4 linked regions of the Diceros bicornis minor genome follow. The protein of the gene in region 1 interacts with the protein of each later gene in a pairwise test. Links are inferred from orthologs where the notes say so. Each region holds a gene or a part of one and is shown on either strand. Other genes may lie near its edges. The genes, in order: SPRY2, OTX1, UBASH3A and HSD3B7.

What was found.
Region 2: the proteins of SPRY2 (region 1) and OTX1 interact in binary tests that used the Homo sapiens proteins (3 or more experiments, as listed by UniProt). The two-hybrid records come from large-scale screens. The link is inferred for Diceros bicornis minor from reciprocal best matches to the Homo sapiens genes SPRY2 and OTX1.
Region 3: the proteins of SPRY2 (region 1) and UBASH3A interact in binary tests that used the Homo sapiens proteins (3 or more experiments, as listed by UniProt). The two-hybrid records come from large-scale screens. The link is inferred for Diceros bicornis minor from reciprocal best matches to the Homo sapiens genes SPRY2 and UBASH3A.
Region 4: the proteins of SPRY2 (region 1) and HSD3B7 interact in binary tests that used the Homo sapiens proteins (3 or more experiments, as listed by UniProt). The two-hybrid records come from large-scale screens. The link is inferred for Diceros bicornis minor from reciprocal best matches to the Homo sapiens genes SPRY2 and HSD3B7.

What each region holds. Positions count from the first base shown.
Region 1 is NC_080748.1:59,266,615-59,273,726, reverse strand, and holds the start of SPRY2 (protein sprouty homolog 2), read left to right. Parts: upstream 1-4,103; 5' UTR 4,104-4,510; intron 4,511-7,112.
Region 2 is NC_080751.1:24,466,468-24,474,120, forward strand, and holds the start of OTX1 (homeobox protein OTX1), read right to left. Parts: upstream 3,005-7,653; 5' UTR 2,903-3,004; intron 2,569-2,902; exon of another isoform or gene 2,556-2,568; 5' UTR 2,474-2,555; intron 2,230-2,473; exon of another isoform or gene 1,543-2,229; intron 923-1,542; 5' UTR 810-922; coding exon 713-809; intron 1-712. UniProt on the Homo sapiens protein: Probably plays a role in the development of the brain and the sense organs. Can bind to the BCD target sequence (BTS): 5'-TCTAATCCC-3'.
Region 3 is NC_080766.1:42,106,083-42,113,618, forward strand, and holds the start of UBASH3A (ubiquitin-associated and SH3 domain-containing protein A), read left to right. Parts: upstream 1-4,532; 5' UTR 4,533-4,540; coding exon 4,541-4,653; intron 4,654-6,665; coding exon 6,666-6,719; intron 6,720-7,536. UniProt on the Homo sapiens protein: Interferes with CBL-mediated down-regulation and degradation of receptor-type tyrosine kinases. Promotes accumulation of activated target receptors, such as T-cell receptors, EGFR and PDGFRB, on the cell surface.
Region 4 is NC_080765.1:21,026,790-21,034,684, forward strand, and holds the start of HSD3B7 (3 beta-hydroxysteroid dehydrogenase type 7), read right to left. Parts: upstream 3,011-7,895; 5' UTR 2,555-3,010; coding exon 2,432-2,554; intron 2,254-2,431; exon of another isoform or gene 2,059-2,253; coding exon 1,887-2,058; intron 1,676-1,886; coding exon 1,520-1,675; intron 1,233-1,519; coding exon 1,124-1,232; intron 1,046-1,123; coding exon 946-1,045; intron 755-945; coding exon 592-754; intron 154-591; coding exon 1-153. Other genes in the region: histone-lysine N-methyltransferase SETD1A, read right to left, coding at 3,712-3,885, 3,965-4,102, 5,997-6,116, 6,298-6,408, 6,491-6,663, 7,065-7,895. UniProt on the Homo sapiens protein: The 3-beta-HSD enzymatic system plays a crucial role in the biosynthesis of all classes of hormonal steroids. HSD VII is active against four 7-alpha-hydroxylated sterols. Does not metabolize several different C(19/21) steroids as substrates.

The sequences.
Region 1 (7,112 bases):
CTCATCAGGACCACTCCACTTACTCTGGGATAACTCCAGATCTTTCCTCCAGTTTAGTTAGGGATAAAGGACATCACCAAAAAGGTTGGATGCAGAAATAAACTGTTCCCAGTTCTCCAAGCCATATAGATAAGAACTCAAGTGGTCTATTTTGAAATCCTTTGTATCTTTTACTGCAGCCCTCCCAATTCCCCCTTAGAGGTAATATCAATAGATTTTGGAAAATCAAAGCAATTCAAAAAGTGAAATGACTAGTCATGGCTGCCAACTCAAAAGGTCCATTATTGCAAAGCCCTTTAATTTAAGAAAGTCCCTCCCAGAAGAGTCCATGCATAACTTAAAGTTACTATTGCAATTAGGGTGTGAGGAGAAATAATGGTTGAAAGATCTAAATTGTTACTCTTGGAAGCAGTATACATTGTTGTGTTCAGGGCCAGCTTTAAACGTGAATACATAAATAAATTGCCTTGGTTATAAAACTAACAAAATATCCAAATAATCACTAGCTATTAATTTTTCTTTGTCTCAAGAACACATCATATCACTGCAAGATTTCTCTTCGGTTATCAAAACTGGGTCTGAACCCAGTAAGGCCAAGTGGTTTGGTCAATCTCACAAAGAAACTGAAACTAGAGTTGTTTAAAGCTACATTCTCCCTTTACTACAACATAAATCGGAAGCTTAGACGAGTAACTGCAACCTTGAAAATATCTGACTTAACTCTGCCAACGCACCTACTGGTGAAGAAGCTTGTCTACTCTGTCCCTATCAATGGCTTCTACTGAAGATTATAGCAGGCAAAATTCACATAGGTTTATACACTGCCTCATTTAAAATAAGAAATTGAGGATAACTATAGTTATAAAATGAAGTAAATCCAAATAAATGAACACAGAAAATAAAATGAAGGCAGAGATGAGATCCCAAATATATGACACACAGTGCTGTTCAATGGCTAGGACTAAGAAGGCATGTTACTGGGTGCGTCCCCAAGAACCTGGAGGTGCGTTGTGGTGCAGCACGGGTTTCCACGGATTGGTATTGTTCAACATTAGGCAAACGGCAACACTTGCTCATGCTTCAGGGTTGCCTCTCTAGAACTCTCCCCAACAGGTTTGAAAATGGGCTCCATTGTGAAGTGTTACATAACATTCTTTCATAATTCTGAAGTATCTTCCAAAATTAATCCCAGTTAGAATTTTGTAATGCATCATGAGAATAGATTTTGGAGCAAGAGCTGCACCAAACACTTCATTGCGTGTGCAGGCACACCACACACACACATAAACGTAAGTCCTCTTTGAGATTATAACTCACTAAGTAAACTTTGGAGACACACTGTAGTGCTTCACACACCACATCTGAAAAACAATAATTGCACTAAATAAAATAAATAATAAGAAGTAAATTAGAAAGAATCCAACAGATTCTTGTTTTTACCTTGTGCTTAAGTTATAAGTTAAATATTTTCCCAGACAGCAGGCTGGAGGCTGTGGGAGAATGGGGTGGGGGGGAGCTAGATTACATGGGGTACCTTCTAGCTCATGAAAGATAAATATAAATTCCTAGTTTCTTCCCTGTTGACTCAATAAAAATCTAAGGTGCCCTAACGAGCCGGAACCTCCTAATTTAAATTCCATTTTATGCTTTGATCCAGAACAACGTATCTTGGCAGAGATCCGGCAGCACCCCGAGAACAGCATGGTTCCAAGTGTCTCCTGAGAAGCAGCCATCTGCTGCAAGGGTTTGAGGAGGCGACGAGAAGGCGTTTCTTTCACCTGCTCTGCCCTAGACTTGCTGCCCGGACACTGGCAGCCCGTTCCAGAAGAGTCTTGCACAACTTTTGGCCCCCAATTCCTTCCCCTTGGTAAAAGTCGGAGTTCTTCCGAACCTGGGTACCTCATCTCTAAACAGAATGTATCCGAGGAGATGTTAGGGAAAGCTACCTGTTGTGGCGTTTATAGTATAAACGTCTTTTTATTCGTTTTGAACCAGCCGGCCTAACGTACATTTTGGAAGGCAACCTCTCCTGCCCCCGTCGAGACTGGGGAAGAAGGCAGCCCCAGCCCCGCGCTGGGCGGGCGCCCCCTGGTGGCCGGACGAGCCATAAACGCAGCCGAGCCTGCGTTCACTCGGACGCTCTAAGGACTGGCGTCGGGCGAGCGGCCCGGACCAGGGAGGCCCGGTCGTCCCGCGCCCGCAGCCCCGGGGACGCCGTGGAGCAGGCCGAGGTAGCCTGGTCTACCTTCACCCGAGGGGTGGGGGTACGTAGGCCAGCGCCCGGAAATAACGCATGCCACTTCCCCTGCCATCTCTGGTTCCAAACTCCGGGCGAGGGGGGAGAGCCCTAGATAAACATGGAGAAGGCAGGGCGACAGCGCAGCGCGGCAGGGAACGCGCCCGGGGCATTCTAGAGCGGGAGCTCGGGAGCAGGCAGCGAGTGCCAGGGTAGCTGCGTACGACATGGGCTGCAACTGGACCCGGGGAATCAAGCACCACGTTTTCCTAGCCCCGTTTCAAGAACTCTAACCTCGCACGGGGGCAAGATCGCAGGTGCTATCCGGGAGTTTTGACCCTACTTCCCTGTAAAGTAAAAACATTCTGTAAATCATTAGAATCCAGTATTAGGAGTGTGTGTGTGTGCGCGCGCGCGGGGGAGTGTTTTAATTTCCTACTGGTGCTCCCACGTGCAAGCACGTTTCTTAGCAAATGAACGGCAATTAGAGCAGTGTATTTGTATGCATTTCCTATCTTTCTATTTTTATTTTTTACGTGGGAAAATACAGTCCACTTTCAAAATGGACAATAGGATCTTCTTGAGAAATGTTCTAGGTGACAAAGAGAGTAAGAAATGAAGGATGACTCTTCTGCTTAAGTGGAGGAGAGAATCTACAGTGGAGCAGTGAGCGCCCCCCCCCAATGTCAGAAGCCCGTGATGTCGCCCTTAAGTAATCGTGCATGTGTGTATTACTGAATTAACTAATTTTAAAAAGTCTTAGATTGTAGGATTTCCTTCAGCTATTGCGTCAGACAAAACACCAAGATCTTCAAAAAGCCTCCATCTATAGCTAACTCCACTTTTAAAAATAAAATCTAATATTAAACCGAAAAACTGCAAATCGACACAATCAAAAGCAAATCCCGGCCAGAGCAGAAGGTACTTGAAACCCGAATCTGCGTTCTGTTCCTCTCGTACACGGCTCTGAGGTGGGGGAGGCGGTTTGTGCTGGTGCCTGGTGTATAATCGGGTTAATCCAGTAGACAAAGAATAAACCAATAGCCCTCCCACCTCACTTCCCGCTCCCCTTCCCCTCCCCCTTCTTCTCTCCCCGTCGCCCCCTCGAGGGGGAACAGAAAAGGGGAGAAGTGGGCTTGAAATGGATTCCGAATAAAGTCTTAAAACCTGCAACTTGTTTTTAATGCTAACACTGCACGGCCTGGATTAGTTTTAAATGTTCATTCCCTTTTCCTAGTGGCGCGGAGAAAGTTCCCTAAGTCAGCCCGAGCCTATGGCTTGTCCTCATGGCCTCTGGGGAAACCTTAAGGGCAGTGTTTCCTTGAAACTAGATAAACTGACCCGGCCGTGCCCAGCCCGGCCCCGCGGGCGCCCCGCGTGACGGCGCCCGGGCGGCAGGGCCGGCCCGGGGACGCGCGGGGCGGCGCGGTTGCCCTTTTGAATGCCTCCTGCGGCTCGGAGCGCTGGCGGGCGCTGGAGTGTGAGTGAATGTAGCCCCGCGGAGCCAATGAGCTGGGACCGGATGCGATATATCCTCTGGGACAACAACTGCTCTGTTCCGCCTCGGATCCACATGACGCCATTTACTGCTGCCGCGGCCGCCGCAGAGCTCCCTGCCTCCTCCGGAAAGGCGAGGGCGCAGGCCAACGGCGAGCCCCCCCGGCCGGGCCCCAGACCCTCCTCCTCCTCCTCCTCCTTCTCCTCCTCCGCACCCACCGCCCCCGCCTCGGCCTCGCCGCCGCGCCTCCACAACGCCCAGTCTGCACCGCCGAGAGCTGCGCGCCGCAGCGCGAGCGGACGAGAGGGGCCGGCGGAGCGCGCAGCGCCCAGGCCCCCGCGCCCGCCCGGCCCGGCCCGCAGCCCCGCGCCCACGCGCCGCCTCCGCGCGGACGCGGCCGCCGCCGCCGCACTCTGAGCCATCTGGCTGTAGTTTCTCTGTAAGGCCGTTTTCTTTTCTCATTCGCTCATCTGCCAGGAAAAGAGACTCGCGTTTGGCGCTTCGGCCTCCAGTTCATTGAGAAAAAAGAGGAAATACTCCGCGTGCGCTTCTAGAAGGGGGGTCGCCTCCAGCCCCGAACTCCGGCGGGTTCGTGGGCTGGGGACTTGGCTCTGGATTTCCCTCGCCTTTTTTCCTCCCGCCGATTGCTCGGAAGTTGGACTGAAGCAGAGTTTGGAAAGAAGGGGGAAAAAGTTTGCATCGGGGCTGGATTTATTTGCACATCGCAGGAAGAAGAGAATCCAGCAGAGAGGGGTTGGTGCAGAGCCGCGATCACGGTGAGGCGCGTTTGGCTCGTCCCCTCCTGGCGCCGTGGTCGGCGCGTTGTGGGCAACATGGAGTAGGTGCAGCCGGACCGGGAGTGGGGTCTGTCTCCCCTCGGGCCTCCCTTTCTCTAACCCCGCAGGTTCCCCTCAGGGATCCCGGGAGCTGCCCGCGGTTCTGCGTCGCCTCGAGCTTGGCCTGCCTTGGCGGGGGCTGCGGTGCGCGCCCGGTGCAGTGTCCCTGGCCCCACGACCCCACGCGCCCGCGCTCTGGGGGGCTGGGGTGGCGGACGGCTCGCACCGAGTCTACTCCCGGCCCTGCATTGGCCGCGAATTCGGCGCTGAGGACAGGAGAGGGAGGGAAAACACTGTGTTTTCCAGGTCGCCTTTGCAGGCGCCCGCGCCTCTAACCTGTTCCTCCCCGGGGAAGGCAAGTCCTGGGAGAGGCTGTCCCGGAGCAGGGGCGCCGGCGGGACCGAGGGCGCGTGGGTCGCTCGCCTCACGGGGGCAGCGAGACCCCGCGGGTGAAAAAGGGACAGGATGCCGGGTGGAGGGAGCCCCCCGCCTCTGCCCGGTGTGGACGGAGGCGAGCCCGGTGCGGGTGGGAGCGTCGCCCTGCCTGGCGCCGGGTCTCTGCGGTTCGGAAGTGCAGCGTTCTCTTTTTTCCGTTCTCCGCGGTCGGACTGGGTCAAGCTTTTTTTATTTTTGGAAGATTGGGCTGACCCAACACAGGAAGAAAGCCATCAAGCGATAGCGATCGTTTTCCATTACCTGAAAATAGGTGGCAAGAGAGGCTAGTTTTTTATTTCCTTTGATGGGCTGATCTACTTTTCTGTTGCTGTATTTTAATTCGGAATCCTGTGCATTTTTACAAAGCAGTTTCTGTGTCGGTTTGCCCCACTCTTGTGCTGAAGTCCTTTCCCCCTAATCCTTAGTCTGATCACACACTGTTCTTAATGGGGGTTTCAAAGCACTTTCAATGCGGGGGGACATGAGGGAGTGCGCGGGGGGCGGGAGGGGAGCGCGGCTGCGAAGGAGGCCAGGGATCGGCAGAAATCATTTTGGTTAAGAAAAAGATCCCCCCTCCCCCAAAGATGCTACTTTCCACTGCAAACAAATCTTCGCGGAAAGTTTCCACCCCAGGGATCTGGGTCTTGTATGCCCAGCGTGTGCAGTGGGGCCCTGTAAAATGTCTTTTCTTTAAAAAGCAATTTTTCTTTCACTTTAAGAAATATGTGTATATCTCTATATTAATATGTAGGCGTCTGCAGATTGCAGGCAATGGCCTTTTGGTCAGCGCATGGGGGAGTCGCCCAGCGTGCGTGGGTTAGACCTCGGTGTCCCGGCTGTGTGTCTAAGGCACCGGCTTCCTCGCGGCGTCGGGCTGGAGACCTCTGCCCGACGTTCGAGGGCCTTTGGCGGAACGCCCTGCAGTGGGCTGCGTGCCCTCTGCCTGGGGGTGGAGTGGCTCCCTCTTGGAGCTGGGAGGCAGTTCTCCGAGGTGGGGGAGGTTTTAGCCGGGAAGGGAGGGAGGGGGAAGTGTGCTCTAGCGTTTCAGGGCATGTCCCCTTCGGAGGCGCCCGCGCCCCCCGCCTGTCTGTCAGTCTCGGGATTGTGCGCAGGGGGGCCAGCCTGGCCTCTGGGCTGCGTCGGTCCTCCCGGAGAAAAGTCCCTCCGGGCTCCGACTGTGTCCTACCTGCTGGGGACGGTGTTGGGGCACAGATAGAACCGATAAACGGAGTGAAAGCAAAGAGCAGCGTAGTCTTGTCTGCTTTTCTGTTGGAAGTGAGATCCTGTTTCCAGCTCTGCCTTGTTTGGAGTTGGGGGGCGTGTGTCACCTGCCTGTGTCTCTCCTAAAAAGCAAAGACTGGATAAAGGTGCACTTTTTGCCCATTTTTATTCATTATAGACTTGGCGAAAGGGAGGATACTTTTGAAATTTACAGAGGAATTGCAGTTTAAGCGATTGCTTGTCAGAATGTAGATTTGAGATGACACTTAAATTTTTAAAAAACTTCCTATTATCACCAGTCAGTTTATGTTCTCAACTATTAAGTTTTTGGAAAGGAGCAAAGCAGTTAAGATTTTGACATAATTTATTTCTAACACAGGGAGAACAGTCTTTTAGCTACAGAATTTAAGATAGTCTCCTAGGCTATCAGATTATAAAATATTTGATTCTCAAGTTGTTGAAAATAAGTAAGTTCCTGTCTTGCTGCGCGTAGTGTAAGTTTGCTTTACTGTGCTCCTGGTACTAACAGGATTTAAATTGATTTGTTTTTAATACTATATAACTTGGAGCTACTATGTAGTTAATGATAATGTATCATTGTTGTAAAATTTATAACTGTTCCTTGGGTGGAGTATTTACTTTTTTGCATGTCATATTCATCCTATGGGATTTTATAAAGTACAGAATACTAGATAAATCATAGTTCAGGGTATGTGATGTAAAAGCATACAAAGTAAGAACGAAGGAAGAATTTCTAGGCTGTATTTATTGATGTTTAAGGCAAAAAGGACCGTGATAAACTTAAACTTATTTCAAATTTTGAAAAGGTATTCAACTTTTGAAAATGTTGGTAGCAATGTTGTGTTCTAACATTACTTTCTTGCCA
Region 2 (7,653 bases), on another chromosome or scaffold:
CGCTTAGAGGTTAAGGAAGGAAGAGAGGTTATACAATCTCCCTTCCTTCACCACCACTCCCACATACTCCCTGGCTGAAGGATGGGGAAGGGATACGCAGAAACACGACCTGGAAAACACTTGCCAAGGGAATAAATGCGGTTGCAGGAATGGGAACCAGAAAAGAAAGCCAGGATTCGACCCAAGCCGTCCACATCAGCAGCGCAGAAGTTGGTACAGGCGACAGGTCTAAAGGACAATTTAACTAAGGAAGGAGAATTCCCCTTCCTCGGCTTAGCCAGTGGCTTCCCATATGGGAAGCTCGTTTCCTCCTGTCAGGGCCTAGTGAGTGTCCAGATTCCGCATTCCATATTGGGGGGAAAGGAACAGATTCACATACATACATACACACACACACACACACACACACACACCAAAAAAGCCACCCATGGGAAACGAATCCGTGGGTAAATGTGCCCCGTGCTGGCAGTGGGACCACAACAGGATACAGGTTGCTGGTGTGGCCGGCCGAGAGAGCGCACGTTGAACGTTTTCGCCGCCCTGGCCCATCTCACCGACCCGCGACTCGGCCCTGTGAGCCTGCAGCCTGCCCTGAATTTTAAGCAGACTAGGCAACCGGTTCCCTGGGCCTGCTGGGCAACAAAGCGTGTGCTCAAACCCGAGACCGAGGGTCCCCAAAGTAGCAGGGGCTGGGGTGGGGGCTGGTGCTCACCCGGATAGCCCACGGAGGGATGCAGGAGGTCCATGGCGGGCCCGGCCAGGCCCAGCCCGTTCATGCCGTATGGGGGTTGTTTGAGGTAAGACATCATGCTAACAGCCGGGTGGAGGCGCCCCGACGGATCCAGGGGGGCCAGGGGCCGGGCGCAGTGCGGGTCTCCCACCGCGCAGTCCTTTCAAGCTCTGCTGCGTCTGGGGGCCCGGCCTATGGAGACACGATACAAACCGTCATTCGGAGCCATGTCAGCTTCCTGGTCTTCTCTGAGGCAAGGAGCCACCGGATGGGGAGGGGACCCAGGCTACGGAACTGCGCTGGGCAGTCGACTCAGCTCTACAAAGCCTTAGCCCAAAGACCACAGCTTCTTTGAAAAGTAAACTTTTCTGGATCGTCATCGCCTCTTTCCGGGCTTGGAAAGGGCCAAAGACACTCGCAGGGCGTCGCTAGGAGTGAGGAGAGGTTAAAAGCAGGGCCAAGCTGGGGAGGTCTGAGCCTGAACCGCAGAGTGTGCAAGGTCCCAAGTCTAGGCAAAATTCTGAGTCCGGTGGGAGCCGGCCTCATACTGCACAAGCAAACGTTCACACGGCACCCGGGCGGGCTGCCCAGAGCACAAGGGGTTGTTTCGTTTTGTTTCAACTGTTTTTGAAAGCGGGACAAAAGACACCAGAAAACCAAGGTGCTAGCAGCACCTGGGCCTCTCCGGGAGGCACTGCCCACTTAGGAGAGTACATTCCTTCAAAGGTCTCCGTGGCTGAGTCCCGGCCCCAGGGCCCGCAGCCACCCCTCCAGCTGACCTCTCTATGCCCAGCCGTTGAAAGATTGCTCACCCGCAATCCCACCACGTCTCAACCGCAGGTCCGGCAGAGGCGGCCAGAAGGGGCCACTGTAGAGGTGGCGGTTCTATCAAGCGGCCCGAGGTCAGCCACGGCCACAGGCCCTTCTTTGCCAACACAAGCCGGTAGCCTTCTTTCTGCCCGGTCCTAGTTGCGGACAACCGGGTCCCGGCGGGGGCTGAAAGGTGACCCGCCCAGCGCCCAAAAATGTCTCGCGGATTTGGGAGGCCTAAGTGCAGCAGGTCCCGCGCGCTCGCTATCCTACCCGCTGAACCCGCGGCCCCGGGACCCGATTGAGACTGGAGAACTAGGCCTCGGCGGCGTAGCTCGCGCTGACCGGGGCTGGAAGGTCGAAGCCTCGCTTCCCGAGTTGCCCCGCACCTAAGGCGCTACTCTCAAGGGTCAGAAAGTGGCGCTGCGGGAGTGGGACTGGGGCCCAGATGACCTGTCGCTTCACCCCGCTTCGTGGGAAGTCACAGCAGGCCTGGCACCAGGGCCAGGGATTTCAGGGAGAGGAGTTAGAGCTAAAGACGCTCCCCTCTCCTATCCTCCGGGACCCTCAACCTGGGCTGGGAGAACCCAGTTTTCAGGGAAGGGGACGAAAGGGAAACAGCCGGGGCTCTCGGGCCGAAGGAGAATGGGACTCAAGCTGCGGCGACTCTGCTAGGCTGCAGCTTGAGTTTTCAAAGATTTTCTTCAAACTTAGCACTTCAGCTCGGTTACTTCGGAGCAGGCGGGGGAGGAGGCCCGGGGCCGCAGCAGAGCTCTTGGGTCCTCCGCGCCTCAAAAGGGGTGCCAGGCCGCTCCCCAACCCTGCCCACCTGCCGGGGATCTGCGAAGCTGGGACCCGTTTGAGGAGGAGGAGAAAGCAAGAGCAACCGACGCGTTCCTAGAGTCCCGGGCGGCCCCGCGGCTTTCTCCTTACCTGCCCTCAGCTGCCGGGGCCGCTCACCATCTACCTCGCGCCCTCACACAGACCCGCCGGGCAGCCAACCTGCAAAACAGAGCTGCACAGGAATTACCCGCCAGGCTGGGCGGTTGGTCGAGGACACCCGGATTTCTTTCTTTCCCCAACTTCCCTCCTTTCTCTTTCTTTTCAGTGGCTTTGTGCATGTCCCTCCAGGTTTCACTTTTTTGCACAGACACTTTGTTTGCAAAGCCCTACACACTACCCAAGACACTACCTTGCCAGGACCGCGCCGAGGGGCCGCAAGGGGGAGGGTGGGGGGCGAGAGGGGCAGAGTTGGGAGGTGGCTCGCGGTTGCCGTTGCACTCCCGGTACGACGTGGAGGCGGTGGGGGCTGGGGAGGTCCTGCAGAAGCACTTTGCAAACTAAATAAATCAAGCGATTTACCTTGTCGGAGTGGCTTGTCTCGCCCGGTTGTTTAGGTGATTGGAAACGTAGCCTGATGAAGATTGATCACCTTTCTACTGCCCTCCCCGGGTATGTGAACGCGAGGTGAGTGCGTAACCGGGCTAGGCTGCCAATCCCGGGGCCCGCGCGGGCTGAGTGACAGGGAGCCGGGCAATGGCAGCACGAGCCGGGGGTTACCTCCGCGCGCCCCCGCCCTCCTCCGCCCCCTGCACCCCGCCCTCGCCGCCCGCCCGCCCCGCCCCGGTCGCGCGCTAACTCCGGGGTTTGGCTGGCAAACGCCTCGCAGAGCGAGGCGAGGCAGGCGAGCGCAGCGCCCGAGCCTCGGCCGCGGAGGGGGACGCCGGTCCCGAGGCCGTCCCGGGGCCCCCGCCCTTCTCTCGCCCTTTCGGCGCCCGGGAGGGAGTGGCAGACAGGAGGCGCGGTGCCGGAGAACCGGTTCCCTCGCTCTCTCGAGCGCCACTCGGCTCGGCGGCCCGGTTGTGGACGCGAGGACTCCGCAGCCGCGGCTGCAGGAGAGGGGGCCCCGGCCCCTCTCGCGGCGCCGCGGGCCCCAGCGTCTTCCTCCACCGCGCCACCACCTGCAGACGGACGCCGCGGGCGGCTCGTGCTGGCACAGGCTACTGTGCCGAGCGCGGGAGCGGCTCCGGGTGCGCAGATCCCGCCTTGGCGCCTCTGGACTCCCGCGTCCGGGAACAGCACCCGCAGGAGAGGCACCACCCCTTACCTGCTCCTCGGCGTCTCTTGGGGTTCCCAGCCCCTACGAAGGGTGCTTGCAAATTGTAAACGCTTCTTCTGAAACGTTGGAGCCCGGCGTCCCCTCCCCCTTACACACACACACTCTACTTCTGAATCGAAAGATTTTGATAGGAAACTTTCTCTTTCACACTGTCTCTCTGTCTCCTTCCCGGTCTCCTCCTACCAGGACAGTCTGCTGGAAAACGTGGCCACAGACCGCTACCCTCAATTTCTTTTCCACATGCCGCAGGAGCCTCCTTGAGGCGCTTTCCCCGGATTGTTCGTACTGGCAAAGCCCATTTTCCAACAGAACAACTTCTCCAACACGTCTACCTGGGTAGACTTTTCAAAGCGCAAAAAAGTTTTTCGCCCCAACACTGAGCAACGCAATTCTTTTAAATGGCACCTCCTCCTGAATATTAGGCACGACTTCATTCCCTTTCGAGGAATTCCTACCCCTTCTTCCTAATCCCCCCTCCCCTCCACCCCAACAGGCGGAGTGAAAACTTTGAACAGGAGTAAGTGTGAGGGCGAGTCAAGGAGCCGCCAGGCGCATCGCGGTGGGGAGCGCCGGCGCTGCCGGGGCCGTGGGGTCGGGACCGAGAGCGGACCGGGCGCTGGGCGAGGCGGAGGAGGAGAAGGCAGGAGAGCCCGCTGAGTGAAAAGGGGCCGCGGCCGCCGCTCATCAAAGTGCTTCCCCCTCCCCCAAGCGACACTTTCCTTTGGAGTCCGAATAAAATACGGTAACAGAATATGATGGAGGGCACACTGTTTCCTTAACTGCTTCTCAAAGGACTCGGGAGATCTTCTTAGGACCTTTAATAAGGCTTTGGTCGGTTCTTTTGTTGATCTCTCAAAATCAACTCCTTCTAATTGAAGTTGGGAGCTGAAAGCGAGCTAATGTTCAAAGAAAGTGGCCGCCAGACCAACGAAATTACATTTTTTTTTTTTTGGACGATGAGGGAACATCTAATCAAAGGGGCAAAGAAGGAGGGGTGGGAGTGGAGGAGTATGAAGGAGAAAAGGAGGTTTTACAAGACCCTTCTCTGGTTCACAAAAGTCAGCGACACGGGTGCTTCTCTCGAGAACAAAGACACCGCGGCCCAGTCACAAAAGGGAATGAAAGAGAGAGAGAAAAAACAATAAAAAAACGAGAGAAAAGGAAAAACATGAGAAAGAAAAAGCTTTAACAGGAAAAGAAACTGCGCAGAGCGCAGCGCTGACCCGGACGGGAACGCTCGTTAGGCTCGCGCAGGCCCCCGTGGGGAATGGCCGGCGCGGCCCGCGGCTCGGAGCCCCCGGGACGGTGCAGAGGTTTAAAGAAAGAAACGAAATACACCCCCGCCTTCAGCTGCGGGGAAAGGCGCGGGCTGGAGCTCACTAGTTTAGAGGGGACCAGGGTGTGGGCGTCCCGGGGGGCGCTTCCGCAGCGTCTGCGTCCCCAGCTCCGCGCTGCCCCTGCCTGGGCCTGCGCTCTGTGTGCCTGGGTTCTTAGCCCTCCGTTGCCGGGGTGCGCGCCCTTGTCCCAGTCCCGCAATCTCTTGCGCTCCTGCTTCCTCCGGGCCGTTTCGCCTGCAGCGCAGCGCCGGGTCGAGGTCCGGCGCGGCGAGGTGGGGCGGGTGTGCGCGCTGGAATGTGCCCAGGAGGTCCCCAGGGCCCGCCGCGCGGGAGTCCGGCGCTCTCGGTTCCAGATGCTGCCACGGTCTCGGGGAAGTTGGGAGGTATCAAGCAGCACGATTTTTCCCCCCTAATGAGAGTATTTATCTAATCCCAAATTGCAGGCGAATTTTCTTAATGCTCAACCCATAAAACCCCGGGATTAAGAGAAGAAAGAGAGAGAGGAGAGGGGAGAGGGGGGAGAGTAGAGAGGGAGAGACACTGAGATGAAAGTTTCTTGTACACAGCGTAGAGGACTGAGGCGGCCGTCGCTAGGCAAATGTCCAGGTGGGAGACTCTGGGCTAGAAGCCGCGACCGTTCCAGCAATGGCCGCAGCGCCGGGAGGGGAAGAGGGGCATCGCGAAAGGGCATGTCGACCCAGCTCGAGGTCTCGGGGCCGGGGAGGGGGCGTGGGAGCTGGGCCCCAAGACCCGGATCCAGCATCCAGGTGACCTCGAGGCCGGGCCAGACTCTGGAGAACACTTGGGACAAGGGGAGGGGTTTGGCTCTGGGGCCGTGGGATCCTGGCCAGGGGCGGAGGTTCTGCACCAGCCCGCGGGCTATGCCCAAGCCAGCCCGATGCCAATGCTCCTCCTCCTCGGCGGCCCCTGGCCCCCAGCTTCTATTCCCGCAGCGCGGGCTTTCGGGTTCCCGGCCTCTACGCAGGCTGAGCTCGCGCCTGCGCTCCGGAGGCAGCCTCTGGGCACCACGCGACGAAATCGGGACGCCGCGGGCCTGACTCCGCTAGTCCCGGGGGTCCGCGCTCTGCCGCCGCTGCGGGGCGTGCGGGCGCCACAGAGCAGCTCACATGGAAACCCCGCGAGGCTCAGGCCTGGGGCAGTAAGAGCAGGAGAGGGGCAGCAAATCTGTGCCTAGGGAAGGTTTGTCACTTGGCAGGTCGGGAGAGGTTTAGGGGAGCCGCCTCTCTGCGAGGCTCCTCGGGACGGAAGGTTCCCCGAATCCAGCGTAAATGGGGTGGATGACGCTGGCCGCCCAAGCCCCAAGCTGCTTCGGGCTGGCGATTTCCGTCTGCTGGCTTCCCTCGGGGTGGAGCGGGGTTCTCAGAGCTTCCCCTAGAGAGCAAATACCCCATTTCATTTCGTTCTGATAACTTTTCAATAACTTCTTAAAATCCTTGTCATGAAGAAATTCTGCCGTAGCAAGTTTTTATCATTTTGAAATACTGGCAGTTGAAGGCGGCTGCAGACTTTTCGAACGGAATTTATGTTTGTATATATCTGCATAAATGTATGTGTGTGTATATATGTATGTGTGATCTAGGCTAAAGTATAAATGCTGGTGGACTGTCTTCTCTGTCTCCAGACTTGTTGAACGAGCTCTCTTTGTTTCGGACACCTCTGCAGAGGAGTGATGGAAACTACCATAAAATCGCCAGTTTTTTCTGTAGCCTAGAACTTCTTGTTAAAAGTTCCCTTTCCCTCATCTCATACACATGTATCTGCACACACAAAAACCCCTCCCCCCGACAATAACCCTCTTTCTTTCACTTCAGCACCTACAGTTATCAGAAGTCACAGTTCTTTCTCATATGAGTGCAAAATTATAACAACTGAAAACAACAACGTGGAAAATTCATCAAGATACTAACACTTTTACAGTGCTGTGGAATCACAAATTTCCTCAAATCTTGAACAACAGAGATGACCCTTTACCAAAGATGATAGTTTACAATGCTTAAGAAAATATGACTAATTGTTTTTCAATTCACATTCGTGTATCAGCAGGGCCCCTCTGGGATGGTGTAAACTTGTTCAGCTCCAAATACAACCCAGTATCCTGCCCTGCAATCAAGAGGACCATTTTTTTCCATATGAAAAGTCTTATGGATACACAACCTTCTCCTCAAACCAGTGTCAAGTTTTCATTGCAATGAAGTAGCAGCAGTGTTTAAGGTAAGAAAGTTTCTGCTTTTATTGAAAATTTATATATGACTCAGAATTGTAATAAATAAACATAACCATTTTCACAAAAAATGACAGTGCTATGCTAGAGAAGGAAATATTAATTGGGGGATTTACTCATAGTGGCAAGACAGACTTTTATCAATACAGAATAAATATTAACAGCATTCTTGAGCCAATGTTGAGACCCAACAAAATTGTAGGAACCAAGCTAGATGTAATAAATAATTATCCAGAGAAAAAGATGGCGCATTCTCAGATGATAAGACGGTCTTTGTAAACTGATGCATGTCAATTAGTCCCATCCTCACAGCTCACCTTTAAATCACAGGACTTGTCTCAGGCTATGTTAAAGAGCCATCCTCTGAAGAAAGCAGAGGAGAGGAGCTCTATTATCCTTACAGTGAAACGCAAAA
Region 3 (7,536 bases), on another chromosome or scaffold:
TAACATGTGTTAACATGCTGGCATGTGAGTCAGATGAGGTCATAAGTCGAGCCAGTTTACCAAGGGATAGTAGGGAAAAGACCCATGAGGGTGGCTGAACTTCCACCACTATAAAGTAGCTTCTCAGAAAAACCTACAGATCAGTTCCATCAAGCTCAGTATACAATTTTAAGGAAAAAGAAATCAGCACACCTAGGGCTGGCATCTGATGTTCACCAAGCCGGAGTCTTAAGTAGTCTTGGTTTGGAGGTATGAGAAGGGGCATCCTACCCTGAGGGCTCCCCTAGGACCTGTGAAGCTTTCATAAGCACTTGCACACAGCTTCGTTCTAGGCACAGTCTCAGTCTCCACCTTGATCTCTTTAGCGAGTGATGGGAGGCTTGGGGGTCAGCCACAGGGGAAATTCTGCGTCAGGAAGCTTTAGTCTTTTTGCTGTTGGCCTTGGAAGATAACTTTTCAAGCTAAGAAAAAGGGATTAAGCTAGATAGGGCGTTTCCTGGCTTACACAAGTAAGATTTTTTTTAAAGAGAAATTTACATTTTAATATGTTATAAGCACAATTGCTGAAAAGGTAGTTTACTATTTAGAAGAGATAAATATATTTGAGTAGAGGCCGTCACTTCAGACCCAAAATCTACTTTTTTGTTGTTGTTGTTGCTGTGGAAGATTAGCCCTGAGCTAACATCTGCTTCCAACCCTTCTCTTTTTGCCCTTTTTTGTATGTCAGCCACCCCCATAGCATGGCCACTGACAGGCGAGTGGTGTAGGTTCACACCTGGGAACCAAACCCCGGCCGCCAAAGCAGAGCGCATGGAACTTAACCACTAGGCCACCAGGGCTGGCCCCTTCCCTTTCCTTTTTTAAAATCAATTTTATTGAGGTTTAATTTACACACTATCAACTGTACCCATTCTAAGTGCTCAATTCAGTCAGTCTTGAAGATCTATGCATCCATTTGGTCACCACCAAATCAGGATGTGGAACGTTTCCATCACCCCCAAAAACTCCCTCTGACCCTGGCCTGACAACCACTCATCTGCTTTCTGTCTTCATAGGTCAGTTTTACCTTTTTTAGAATTTCATTTAAATAAAATCGTACAGTATCTATATCTTGTGTTTGGCTTCCTTCAGTCAACAATGTTCTTTTAAATTCATCCATGTTCTTCTATGAATCAGTGATGTCTTCCTTTTTATTGATATATGTTATCCCACTGATTGAATACACAGTCATGCACTGCATAACGACATTTCAGTCAATGACAGACCACGTTTACGATGGTGGTCCCATAAGATTAGCACCATATAGCCTAAGTGTGTAGTAAGCTATACCATCTAGGTTTGTGTAAGTACGATTTATGATGTTTGCACAATGCTGAAATTGCCTAACGATGCATTTCTCAGAACGTATACCCAACACTGAGCAACACATGACTGTACCATAATTTTTGTATCCATTCACCAGTCTATAACAGTTGTATGTTTTTGGATTCTTTTCAATTTGGGTCTACTGTGAATGAACCCACTACAGACATTTCACATACAAGTCTTTGTGTGGTCATGCATTTTCATTTCTCCTAGGGAGATAGCTAAGAGTGGATTGGTCGTATAGTAAGAATATGTTTAACTTTATAAGACTATGTTTTCTGGAAGTGGTTGGACAATGTGTGAAAGTTCCAATTATTCCACGGTTGGTCAAAACTTGATATTGTCAGTCTTTTCAATTTTAGCTCTTCTACTAACTGTGTTGTGGTATCACATTGTGGTTTTAATTTACATTTCCCTGATGACTAATGATGTTGAATATCTTTTCACGTCTTCATTAGCCATTTGCATATCTTTAACCACTTAACCCATTTTTTAACCAGATTGCTCCTTTTCTTATTATTGATTATGAGAATATACATATATAATAGATGCAGAAATACATTATGTTATATTCTGTATATTCTGGATACAAGTCCTTTGTCAGGTATCTACGGTGATATTTTCTCCCAGTCTGTGGCTTACATTTTTATTTTCTTTATGGTGTCTGTCAAAGAGCAGAAGTTTTCAATTTTGATGAAGTCCATCTTAATTTTCTTCTTTTATGATTCATATTTTTTTGTGTCATAACAAAGCTTTCAAACTCCAGCGTAGCAAAAAATTTTCTCCTACATTTTTGTTGGAAGTTTTATAGTTTTAGCTTTTACATTTAGGTCCATCATAAATTTGAGTTAGTTTTTGTGCATGATGTGAAGTAAGGGTTGAAATTTATATTTTTCCCATAACGATATGCAGTTTTCCAGCACCGTTTGTTGAAAATATTATCCTTTCCTCTATTAAGTTACATTGGTCCCTTTGTTGGGAATCAAATGACCACATATGGGGGTCTTTCTGTGCTCTCCAATGGCACACTATGGCAACCTGATTTTTAAATTTATATGAAAAAGCAAAGAGCATAGAGGAGCCAAGACAATCTTGAAGAAGAAGACAAAATCAGAGGACTTAACGCTATAGTAATTAAAACAGTGTAGTATGGGCACAAAAATGGACAAATCCAATAAGAGAACATAATGGAGTCAGAAACAGACTAATACATATACAGTCACCTGATTTATAATGAACATTCTACTGTATTCACTGGGCAAAGAATGGTCTTTTCATTGAACACAGGTATGGGGAAAGAAATGAACATAAACCCCTACCTCACCCCATACAAAGAATTAATTCAAATGGACCATAGAGCTAAATATGAACAGTAAAAGTAGTAAAGCCTCAAAAAGAAAATGTAGGAGACAATCTTCATCAATGTTGGGTTAACAATGATTTCTTGAACAAGATGCAGAAAGTTCAAACCATAAAAGAAAAGATTGATAAATTAGTTTTCATTCAAATTAAGAAATTTCGTTTCACTCAAAGACATTATTAAGAGATTAAAAAAGCAAACCACAGCCTGGAAGAAGTTATTACCATTAAATGCATCCAACAAAAGACTTATCTCCAGAGTTCCCACAAATTGATAAGAAAAAGCAAACAACCCAATTTTTTAAAAGGCAGATGCTTTGAACAGGCCCTTCCCCAAAGAGGTTCTTCAAATGGCCAATAGGCTGTCTCGTGGTGCTCAATGTCATTGCCATTCAGGGAAACGCAAATTAGAACCACAGTGAGATACCACTACACACACCTAGATTGGCTAAAACTAAAAAGACTGACAGTATCAAGTATGGATAAGGATGCAGAGCAGGTGAAACTCGCATCCACTGCTGGCGAGAGGGCAAATTGGAACGACTGCTTTGTAAAACTGCTTGGCAGTTTTTAATGAAGTCTGCACATATCCTATGACCCCCAAATCCCACTCCGAGGTGTGTACCCAGCAGAAATGCATACATTGGGCATTAAAAGATGTATACAAGAACATCCACAGCAGCAAAATAACTGAAACACACCCAAATGTACATCAACAGAGAAATGGAGAAATAAAGTATGGTGCATTTATCTGATAGAATGTTACACAGCAATACAGGGAACTAACTACAGCTACAAGCAACAATGTGGATAAATTTCACACACGTGATTTTAGGCAAAAGAAACCAGACACGAAAGAGTACATGCTGTACGGTTCTATTTATATAAGTTTCAAAAATACGCAAAATTAATGTGCAAGTGTGTACAGCGGTTACCTTTTGGGGTGAGAGAGGAGACAACTAGGAAGCTGGGTGGGGGCTGAGAGCAGGGGTGCTTCTGAGGTTCTGGTAATGTTCTCAAGCAGAGTTTCTCAACCCTGATGCTATTGACATTTTGGGCTGGATCCTTCTTTGCTCTCGTGTGCACTGCAACATTCCTGGGTTCAATCTGCTAGATGCCAGTAGCAAGCATCCCCTCCAGTTGTGACAACCAAAAATGTCTCCAGACACTGCCAGCGGTCCCCGGGGATGGAGGCCAATATCCTCTGGTTGAGGACCACTGTTTAATTGCTGGTCCTGGGAAGGTTAGGTGTGTGTGCTCACTTTATGAAGATTCATTGAGCTGTACACATATGATTTGTCAACTTTTCTGCACGCATATTAAACTTTAAAAGTTTTTAAAATCAAAAAAAACGTCAATGAATAACTAAAGAAACCCAAAATTTCAGAGCTAGCAGGGAAAATAGATACAGCGTAGTTTAATGTCTTGCTTGCAGATAAGGAGACTAGATCCAGGGTCGCTTGGGGTTCTACAGTCAGTGGGACCTGGTAGAGAACACTTGCCCCTGGTTCCACTCCCTCGTCCTGCCCCCTCGCTCTCCCTCTCTTGCAGACTTGCTCCCCAATGCAGCCCACGTCAGTGCAAAGGCTTGGTTGGACCTCCGGATCCCAAACCGCGCTGTGGAAAGAGGCTTGGTGGATATTGCACCCCAGCACCCCACAAAGAGATTTTTGAAAACCAGTATCTCATGCAAACAGGATATTAGCTTTTGTTAGAAAGATCAAAAAAGGCTTGAGGTTTTTCTTCACAGCTTCAGACTCTCTTGCCTCTCCCTCTCTGGCTTTATCTACTCATTTCAGCCTGCAGGCAGGAAGACATGGCAGCCGGGGAGACTCAGCTCTACGCCAAGATCTCCAACAAGCTCAAGGGCCGCAGCACCCCCGCCCTCCTGGACTCCCTCCTGGGGATGGGCTTCCCGGCACACACCGCGTGAGTACTGCCCTGGCTAGGGGAGCCTGCGACCCCCGAGCCTGACCCTTCCGTGGCTCCTCTGTGAAACTGCAGGCAGCTCCGAGCACCAGCTTCCTGTCGAAGGGGTACACCACGCAGGATGAGACACTGTCTCAAAATAAGACCCTTTTCTGCTTTTTATAAATAACTTGATCTTTCTTTTTAAAGACAAACTCAGCTGGTTGATGGGGGGGACACTGAAATTTGTGAAAATTAGAAACCAAGTATTACCATGGCAGCCCCATTTTTCAGAGTTTGGAGGAGCTTGGGGCCTGGTTGTACCGTCTCTGTGAGCAGCTCGGCGACTCTGAGACGACATTTCAAACTCTAATTTGAAAGATCCCAGAGCCCAGTGAGTCTCTATTGCTGGGACCTGTTGAGATGGGACTGTGTTTCTAAACAGTGCAGGAAAACCATTAGTGCTTAGGGAAAATCTCTTGAATGTCTGAAAACGAAACAAAATGATGAAGAAACTACCGGAAGAGTGTCAGCACAATCCTACTCACCCAGGAAAAACGTCCACACGGAAGATTTTAACCTTAGGAGTTACCCCTCTCAGAGAGTGGAGAAATCCCCAAAATCAATGACTATGATCCTGACCCTGGGTTACAGCTTCCACGGGAAATTGATTGCTTAGTTCTGGTCCTTTTCACATGCTTATTCATATGGGAAAATACATCAGAAGTCCCCTTAGGTAACCTTGGATTTGAGAGCGGGGCAAACCTTCCTTAAACATTGTAACAAAAATCCTGACCCAAGTGGATGAAATAACTTTGAAGCTAGACCCCTTGCACCTCCAATCCAATTCAGGACTCGGTCGTCACCACTATGTTCATAATAATCCGGGGGTCTGTGCAGTGGGAATGGAAGCAAGCACGAGCAGAGTGCCTGCCGTGTGCTGGGCACCGTCCTGGGCATCGTCCAACAGGTGCAGATGGGGACACTGAGGCCAGAGAGAGCAGGACAGGAACCCTATTCTCGGTGCCTCTAGAGCCCAGGCTTTATTACATCAATGAAGCTGTAGTGTGGACGCATACCCAAAATTCCTTCTAGTTTAAACCTTAGCCGTATGCTGGGGGTAGAGAAACATGTTTAAACTTCTCCCTTAGGCTGGAGCACCCCAGGGAAGCCTGGAGCCAAGGCCTCCCTGTTAAAACCCATCCAGGTGGCCACATCCCGTCGGTATTGGGCGGCACCGTACTGGGTTCCTCAACAATTCCAGCCACTTCCGGGCCGACTCCCTGAATGCATTACCTTAGCCGGGTTTCACTCTGTACAATTTGGAGGTTCAGTTCAATTCAATTCAATATATTTACATCCAGTTACAATGATAAGTAAGACATCGTTAGGCCTAGGGACATCATGGTCTGGTAGGGGAGGCAAACGGACACGAGTTCAATGAGATGAGAAGCAAGGTGACCACACGTGTGGTGGGGAAACACAGGAGGGGCTGCACGTCCACCCTGCTTGGGCGGTTCGGGGAGGACTTCCTGGTGGAGGGACGTGTAAACAATCATAGAAGACCCAGGGCCATGTCTTTGAGGGCATGTCAGCACAGGGCCGCATTTTGGCAGGGAGGCACGTGTGCAAGCCGAGGATATGACCCATCATAGCCAGTGGGTCCACCTGGCTTGGGTGCAGGGTGCATGGGGGAGGGTGGAGCAGATGGGGTTGCAGGCATGGGTGGACCTCAGGGCATGAGCCCTTGGTCTCGGTGCCAAGGACTGCAGGGAGGGATCCCCAGAAGGAAAATGAGCAGGGGTGGTGTGAGCAGGTCTGCATTTTCAAAAACCACAGTGATGCCTCTCGGAGGACAGAGGCCTGGACACTCAAGCTGCCAGCTGCAGAGTCTAGCAGTCCAGCCCCTCCAGGTCCTGATATGTCCGATACGAAGGTCCGACAAGTTGTAGGGCTGCCCCTGCTTCTCTCATCCCTTCCCTGAGAATGCAAGGCAGGCTTCTGAATGCTCCTTGCCTTCTGCTTCCCTACAGGCTAAAGGCATTGGCAGCGACCGGAAGAAAGACAGTGGAAGAGGCATCGGACTGGTGAGTGGGGCTGGCTTTGCAGACGTGGAGCGTTTGGATTGAGGTGCCCGTGCTTTGAGGACTCTGCGGGATGGACACTGGGAAGTGCCCAGTGCGCTCTGGGCGGGGCAGGGGCCACCTCCACGCCTACCCACCCAGCACCAAGGGAAGGGAATAAAGAGCTCACATTTAAAATGTAAAATGAAAAAGAGACAACCGTGCACAAGGCTTTCTTCACTTAAAAATCTGATTTAATTCAAATGTGACTGTCAAAGAAGAAAAAAATGCATGTGATTTGTTGAGTACAGAGGGCAGAGCCATTTTTTGCTGATGTGAAAGAGAGGTCACCACTCTCAGGTTATGTCTGACAGGAAGAGAATTTACCGGTGGTTGTGAATGCCCCCAAAGGCATCGGCATGGTGCACCGGAGCGGGTGCCGGGTGGTTGGGGGGACGGGGTAAGGGGCTCTGAGCTCAGGGTGGCCCCTCCATCCACCAGCTACTCGACTCTACAAGCCGCCCACTGCTATGGACTGCGGCTTTCTGCTCTGGAAATCAAAGAGAGGGCACCCCCTTTTCTAAAACCCAGTCCCGCCTGAATGTGCCATGATGCCATCGTTCTGTCCTCAGGTGGGAAGTCCCCTAACACTCTGCCCCTGAAAAGCCGCAGTGAAAATCAAACAAAAAAACCGGGTCCCGCCAGGCTGGGGTGCCCTCCCCAGAGCGGGTGGAAATGCTGCCCGTGGGTCTCCGGGTGTCCAGCACGTCCTCAGTGGGAACCCCCTTCCTCCTCCAGAAACCCTAGGCTGAGGGTAAAATAAGTAACCTGTCTACAGGAC
Region 4 (7,895 bases), on another chromosome or scaffold:
GCCGCAGTCCACAGGGGCCCAGGAACTCCATGTTGAAGTCCTCGTAGCTCTTATAGGGTGACTTGTCATAGCAGAAGTACACCTGGCCACCCATTAGTGCCGCTCGCTGCTCCAGCTCCCGGGCCACCAGCACATGCATCCAGGCTACGTTGCCTGCCAGTGGAGAAAGGGGTGGACATGACCGAGTGCCCTTGCGACCATGTAGATGCTGCTCTCTCCTGGGCCAGCCCACGTACAAGCCATTCCCTCTTTCGGCCCATGTAGATGCTGCCACCATAACTACAGCCCTAGCAAAGGCTGCTTTCTCCCTGGCCCCTGTAGCCACTTGCTCTCCTGGGCCAGCCTGTATGGACCCTATTCCTTCTTCTTTTGGTCCAGTGTAGATGCTGCCCCTCTCCTCTCCTCAGCTTATGACGTTTTTATGTCAGCCTTCCCAACTTGCATGGATACTGTTTTCTCTGTGGCTTGTGCAGACAATGCCCACATATCAGTCTACCCCGGCCCGTGTATAGACCATCCTTTTCTAGGCAGTGTACATCCGCCCACCCCCCAGCAAATTCTTCGCCTCCCCTCGCCTAGCCCGGGCCTCACCCACGTAGACCCGGCCGTGCTCCACAGAGGCTGGGACGGCCCGGAAGAGCCGACCCCCCAGGCGCAAGCCCTGGTGGTAGAAGTCCCTCATGATCTGGTGGCCTTCACCATAGATGCCGGTGGGACGCAGGGCACACGTTACCAGGGGCAGCCCCCCGCGGACCTGGGAGCAAAAAGCAGGCACTGCTAAGACCTAGGACCCAGTGACCCACCCTCTGCCGTGGCCTCCTCAAGCTGGAGATGGAAAGGAGGTACCCAGGGCAGGATGCAAAGAAGCCCAGCTGGTTCTGGTTCTGCCTTTGACTGGCAGCCCTCCCCACCCCCATCTCTAGGTCTCCTCTTCTCCAGTCTCACCTTCCTTCCATTGGCTTCCAGGACCAGCCGTTCAGCTAGGGCCTTGCTGCAAGGATAGGGGTGTCTGTGTATTGCTTCATATGGGGTGTCCTCATTGCCCCTGGTGGTGGGAGAAGGAAGATTCTTAATGCTGAGGGGAGATGGAGCTCTTACAGTATTAGGGGGAACCTCAGCTCACCTGTAGAAGGGGTGGCCTTTGATGTTGGGCCCCACAACTTCCATGCTGCTCGTGTAGACCAGGAACTGTGTTCCAGCCTGCACACAAGCCTCAATCACGTTCTGTGTACCTGGGGAAGGCGGGGTGTGTGTCCAAGCTGAAGCTTCCTCTCTCTCCACATCTTTCCCCTCCCCATCCCAAATCTGGATGAGGGTATGTGCTTCCTTCCCCAGGTCCAGGGAAAACTACAGCAGGTCACAGCCTGCAGTTACAGGGGCAGGGTGTCCACAGGACAGATTGTCACCAGAGAATCACAGAGATCAAGGTCAAAGAGGGGGTGGGGAACAAACAGCCAAGATCAGGCCACCTGCCAGGGAGTGTTAAGTGTGTTATTAGAACTGGTGGGGAGCACCTCACCCTGCACGTTGACCTCATGGATGGTCTCAGGACTGGCCCTCCCAAACACGTCCACCAGCCCGGCTGTGTGGATGACCACATGGGCTCCAGCCACAGCCGCTGCCACTTCGTGGGCCTGGGTCACATCCCCCTGGATGGCAGTCACCTGCACGGGCCCTGGTAAGGGGTTAGGGCAGCCAGATGCAATGTCAGAGCTGGGGCCATCGGCCAGCTGCTGCGTTCAGCCTATACCCTTGGGAGCCACATGTTCCCAGTGTGACTCACTCATCCCATTCATGTGCCCTGGAGATAGTAAACAGGCATCATCTTTTCCACCACAGTGAAGGGAGTCCACACCCTCCCCCCATTTCCTCCCCACTACCATCACCTGTCTTCAGCTCCTCCAGCCAGGGACCCAGGTGCAGGTCAAAGATCCGCAGCTCACGGAGCCGGGGTTCCCGCTGCAGCAGCATTCGCACCACGTGCTCCCCCAGGAAGCCACAGCCACCTGTGACCAGGTACACCAGCTTCTGGGCCTGTGCAGAGTCTGCCATGCCCAGCTGAGGAGAGACCCTGGCTCACCTGGGTTGCTTGCCGCCACCTGCCCCAGGACCGGAGGCCCACTTGTTACTCCTGGAAGGGGCCTCTGGCCTACGGACTGGAGCAGTGACCCAGGGGCCAGGGCTATTCCTGGAGGGGCAGCTGTGGGTGCAGCAGTCAGGCTCCCTGCCCTCTGACCCTGCCAGCTGCAGTTACTGAGATAAGAAGGGTGAGGGCTTAGTGTGCAGGAAGGGCTCAGGGTTTGAGGTGGATGGGGAGGTTCTGGGACAAAAATGGAGGGTGAGAGGCAGGAACTGGGGAGGAAGGATTGAGGAAGGTGGGCAGGGCTGGGACTAGAAGGGACCCCTGGGCCCTGGCATCACCTCTGCCTACCTGCAGCCACAGTCGCAGGGCGCCCAGATGGGCCTCCGAAGGGGCTGTCTTCTCGTCCGCCTGAGCCAGCCGGCCAGCAACACACCATCCCCTTCCGCTTGTTCCTCCTCCCTCCTGGCCCATTCCAGGAACAAGAGACCAGCCCAGCCTCCACCCCTCCGTCCCCTACACTCTTGCTACAGGGCACCCCCTGGTGGCCACTCTTCACTCCACTGGCATCTGGTTCCAGCAAGAACTGGGGGAAGGGGGCGGGAAGCCAGAACCTGCTGGGTGGGTGCTGAGGGGTTTCAGGCCACAGGATGGAGCAGGCAGAGTGACCTCACTCCCACTGCATGATGTCAGTCCTTCCCTCTTGCTGGATGTCCCAGGAGGCCAGAAGCTCAGAGGCAGCTGTGGCTCTGGGAAGGGCAGGAGGCCTGACCTTGTCTGGCCTTGGTGGGGGATTTCTGGATGGCTGTTCCAACCTATCAGGTGGCCCAGAGCAATGGTGGCTGAGTCTGCAGGTCTGGGCTCTTGCCTGAAAGCCCCTCTACAGACCACAAACTCCAGGCCACCCATTTCCACCTCTGTTCCCCATTTTCCTCAACCCCCATCCCTCCCTACTCTTCCCGAAAGATACTGACCAAGCACTTTTGTACAATAAAGTTTAATCACAATTATAAAAATGTGGCGTTGGGTTTGCACTATTAACATATGTACAATCCAGCCCAACAGGAAGGGCCCGCCCCCCACCGTCCAGGCCTGGCGGAGCCAGAGCTCCCAGACACCAGGGTGGGAGGCTGACCCACAGGTGCTGGCAGGAACAGAAGATGAGGCAGGGTTCCAGGCACGGAGTCCCCAGGACTGGGGGCGCAGGGCCCCCCCCAGGGGGAGAACATGGCCACTGCCCCTAGAGACCCCTAAACCGGGGAGGGGTGCACGCAGGGCACAAAGGGGAAGTCCCCCATTAACACAAAGCAAGGGGGCTATGTAGCCCCCAAGAACAGGATCTGTACAGGCCGGCACCCCAGGTTTCCACAGGAAACAGCTGCTGGCAGCTACAAAACATTTACAGCTTCTTCTCCGCAAAGAAAAAAAAATTAGGGTGTGGGTGGGCAGGGGCGACAGGGAGGCAGACGATACCTCAAGGGATTGAGGCTCCCCGCCGGGCTCAGGGCTTCCAACCCCGTATTTGGAGATGGGGCACGTGGGCCCTGCTGAGCCCACTAAGGCTGGGGGGCTGGGAGCTCAGGGCCCCAAGGGGGAATAAATAGGGGTGTGGGCACCAGTCCTGCCCCACCTCAGTTGAGGGAGCCTCGGCAACTCTCGGTGCCGCACAGACACGGGATCTTGTTGTCCTCCAGCGGGAACTTGTAGTCGTAGGTGATCTCCTCATCCACGCCGATGGGCTGCTTGGAGTAAATCACAATCTTTTTCTGGGACTCGATGGTGATCACCTTGGCGTAGCAGTTGGGCTGCAGGAGGGGAGGGCAGTGTGAGCCGAGGCTGCCCCCTTGGACCCCCCGCACCGCCCTGGTCTGGCCCCTGGCGCACCGTGCAGCAGTGGTTGATGAACCTTGCCAGGTTGCCACACTTGGTAGCATCGATGATGGTGTCATGGTCCACCCGGAACAGGTAGCTACTGCCAATGCCCTCCTGCACATAGCGCTTCTCCCGCATGTCGGCCACCATCTAGTAGGGTGAGGTGCCACAGTCAGGGAGCTGGCCTCTCAGCTTCCTGCTGGACCAGGCCTGACCCCACCAGCCCCCATGATGGGGGATCTGGACAGTCGTCCAGCTACCACCTCAGGGGCCACATCGACCTGTGGCTCTCCTTTTGGCTCCCACTAACCCAAGACGTTGACTCCCCTGACTTTGCTTCCAGGAGCCCTCCCTCTTAGGGCCACCCACCCTAAACCTTTTTTTTTTTTTTTAAAGATTTTATTTATTTTTTTTCCCCCCAAAGCCCCGGTAGATAGCTGCATGCCATAGCCGCACATCCTTCTAGCTGCTGCATGTGGGATGTGGCCTCAGCATGGCCGGAGAAGCGGTGCATCGGTGCACGCCCGGGATCCGAACCTGGGCCGCCAGCAGCGGAGCGCGCGCACTTTAGCTAAGCCACGGGGCCGGCCCCCACCCTAAACCTTTGGCTGCCATTCTAAGTCACCCAAAGAGGACCCCAGGAAGTCTGCACTGGTCACTGGGCAGAAGCAGCCACTGGCTCCTCCTCAAGTGTCTGCCTGACTCACCATGGAGCCCCCAGACTGCTGTGGGGCTGGGGCAGTTCCCAAGATGACAGTGGCCACTTCGTGGACCACACCTTACTCATCTCTTCTCCCAGGACCTTCTCTCCAAAAGAGACACCCACTGGCTGCCACTGGCATCCACGTTAGGGCCCTCATTCTTATGTGAGAAGGAGTAACTCGTATTTTCCAGAAAACAGGATGCTAAGTCCCCTGCGCTCTCTCCTTGGGTGATCTCACTCTTTTCCAGGGCTTCAACTGCCAGCTAAGTGGTGGGGACTCCTCCCAAACTTCTGTCTCCAGCCAAAAGCCACCTCAGTGGAACTGCTGGGCGTCATCTCCTAGACGTCCCCCAGGCCCTGCAACTTCACATGTCCTGATTGGAACTCATCTTAACCACCCGCCCGCTCCCTCCTCCTCGCTCCCCATCTCACTGGCAGCCCTAACTACCCTAACTGCTAAAGGCAGCACGCTGAGAAATGGCCTCCCCTCCCCTCTTGCCCTCACTCTCCCGAGCCAACTTGTTGCCTAGTCCTGCCAGCTACCTTGGGCCTCCAGACTCCTCTGTTACTTCAGCTGCCACAGAGGCTCGTGCCAAGAGGCCTCGGCTCGTCCAGGCCACCCTCGCTTTTGGCCAGGATCTCTCCAACAACTGCCCACTGGCCTCAGCCTCCAATTCTCTCTCCACACTGCAGCCAGAGGGAGCTTACTACCCTCCAAGGTCCTCTCCTACTCAACGCCTTGCGGCAACTCTCCTCTCTCACCATCAGGCCAAACTTATTAGTGTGGCTCCCAAGCCCTGCCTCCATCTGCCCCTCCAGCCTCACGTTGCTGCCACTGGCCCTTAACTAGCCATACTGACCTCCTTGCCCTTGTAAGAATATCCTGCCTCCAAGGCCCTTGCACATGCCATCCCGCAACCGGGAGGCCCTTCCCTTCACCTGAGCCTGCGAGTTCAGCTTCATCCTTCAGCTTCCGGTTTAAACATCACTGTGTTGCCACTGCCCCTGCCTCCCCAAACTTCTCCTTCGCATCAACCAAACGCCATCCTTTATTGCAGTTACTTGTTCAATGCCTGTCTTCCCCACTAAACTGTGAGGTCCTTAAAGGGAGAGAGAATATTAGTCTTGTTTCTTGCTGGATCATTAACATCTAGTTTACTAGTACCCATTACTAGTTGTTGAAGGAAGGAAGGAAAAAAAAATAAAGAGGCAGGTTTCACTGGCTAAGTTGTAGAGCCAGGAGGGTATGTGGGGCTTTATCCAGAAGGTCAGATGCTTCTCCTGTGAGCTTTCCCATGCTGCATCAGATCAGGGGTTAGGGCTGGGTATGAGGCCTCTCACCTGGCGGATGTTCTGGCCCACGTATTCGATGACCATCTCATCAGCTGCAATGGGTTCCATGGCAAACAGACCCCACTCGTGGATCCGGCTCCGGCCAAATCGGAGCTTCTTCTTCCGGAACTAGAGAGCAGAAGGCAGACTGTGCTGCTGGACCCCTCCAGAACCCTAGCTCCTTGCCTTCCCTGCAGACCTCCAGGGAAGGAGGGTATTCTAGCCACTCCCCACCATCCCCACCCCTAGGGGACTCCTGGATGCTGCCTTTCCACTGAGCCTCTTTCCTCCCCAAGGCTCCACTCCTCACCTTGAGCTGGTTTAGCTTCAGGAGATCGCTGTCCATGATGGCTGAGGTGCCGATGGCGCTCAGCAGCCGCCGCTGCTCAGACCGGCGCTCCGAAAGCACACGGTTAGTCCCCTGTGAGAAGTAGGACAGGGAGGAGGGAAGTGACAAGAGAAAGAATGGGAAGAGTATGCCAAATATGAGGGCAGAGCCTCACCTGAGTGTCCGCTCCTTCCAGCTGCCGGGCCGAGACAGGGCACACGTCCAGGTACCTGTCCTTCTCCTTCTTGCTGATGGGGTAATAGCCTTCGCTGCGGGCTGAGCCTGTCTGGTGCTCACGGGGCCCATCCTGGGGCCGCCGCTTGCGTTTTGGAGTGCTCAGGTTGGTGAGTACAGGGTGTTAAGGAAGAGACGGGGTTCCTTACTGGTCAGACCCCTGGGGCCCCCACTCCCCTCTGTCCCGCCCAGTCCCAGTCCAAGGAAAGGGCGACTGACCTTATAGCTGGAGGTCCTGAGCACACTCAGTGTGAGGAGGACAGAAGGATAGAGAGATTTAAGTCTTAGACCCACCTTTTCTGCCAGAAAATGTCTGGGAGGCAGAAAAGAGGCACAAAGCACAGTGAAAAGAGTGGCTTGGTAGCCAGAGGAGAAATACCCAGGCTGAATACAGCAGAGAGAACATGGATGGGGAGAACCGGAGGGAACCGGCTGGGTGACCCCACGGAAGTCCACTCCCACCCCCGGGCCCGTCTTCCTATCCTGAGAAGGCCAGCCGCTAGGGCTCAGGATATTGGTGTGATGGACCCAGTGGGTGTCGTTAAGCCAGTCAGCCCCGCTTGTCTGCTGCAGCAGCCGCTCATATGTGAGCCGCAGGTAGCTCATGTCCTCCAAGTCCAGGCCCGAGTTCCAAATGTCATATAGGATGGTCATCTGCTCAAACTCACTGCGGGGCTCGAAGGTGGGGGGCGGTGGGGGTGGGGGTGGAGGGGGTGGCCTCCTGCGCCGGGTGTGGGAGCGGAGGCTTCGCCTCCGGACAGCCCCCTCGCCGTCACTGCTGCTGCTGCTGCTGCTCTCAGATGACTCTGACTCCTCCTCTTCCTCCTCCTCCTCCCCCTCCTCTTGCTGCTGCTGCTGCTGCTGCTGCTGCGACTTGGGCTCCTCCGCCTCAGCCACTACCACCTCAGGGGCCTCTAGCACCTCATCTGCTGGGGAGCTGAAGAGGGCTGCAGGGGCAGGAACTGGCTCCAGGGGCCGAGGAGCTGGTGTGGAGGGTGGGGGCTTGATGGCCAGGGCATAGTTGTGTTCCAGGAGAATGTGGCTGAGCAGGGGGCCTGCGCGATCTGCCTCGTCCGATGTCTCTGTGGCCTCCGAGTCATCGCCAGTAGGCAGGGCAGCCAGCCCACGCCGAGCTGGGGTCAGGGCCAGGTCGGCCAGCACTGCCAAGTCTACTTCTGTCCCTGGCTCAGCCTCTTCTTCCTCGGTGGAGCGGCCTCGGCCTCCAGGCCGACTCCGACCTCCTCGGGACACCTCCTCGGGCCAACTCTTGACCAGAGACGCGTGGTCCAGGGGCAGGTTGCGAATGGTCCGCTCCACACCCCGGGGGACTTTGCGGGAGACAGGGC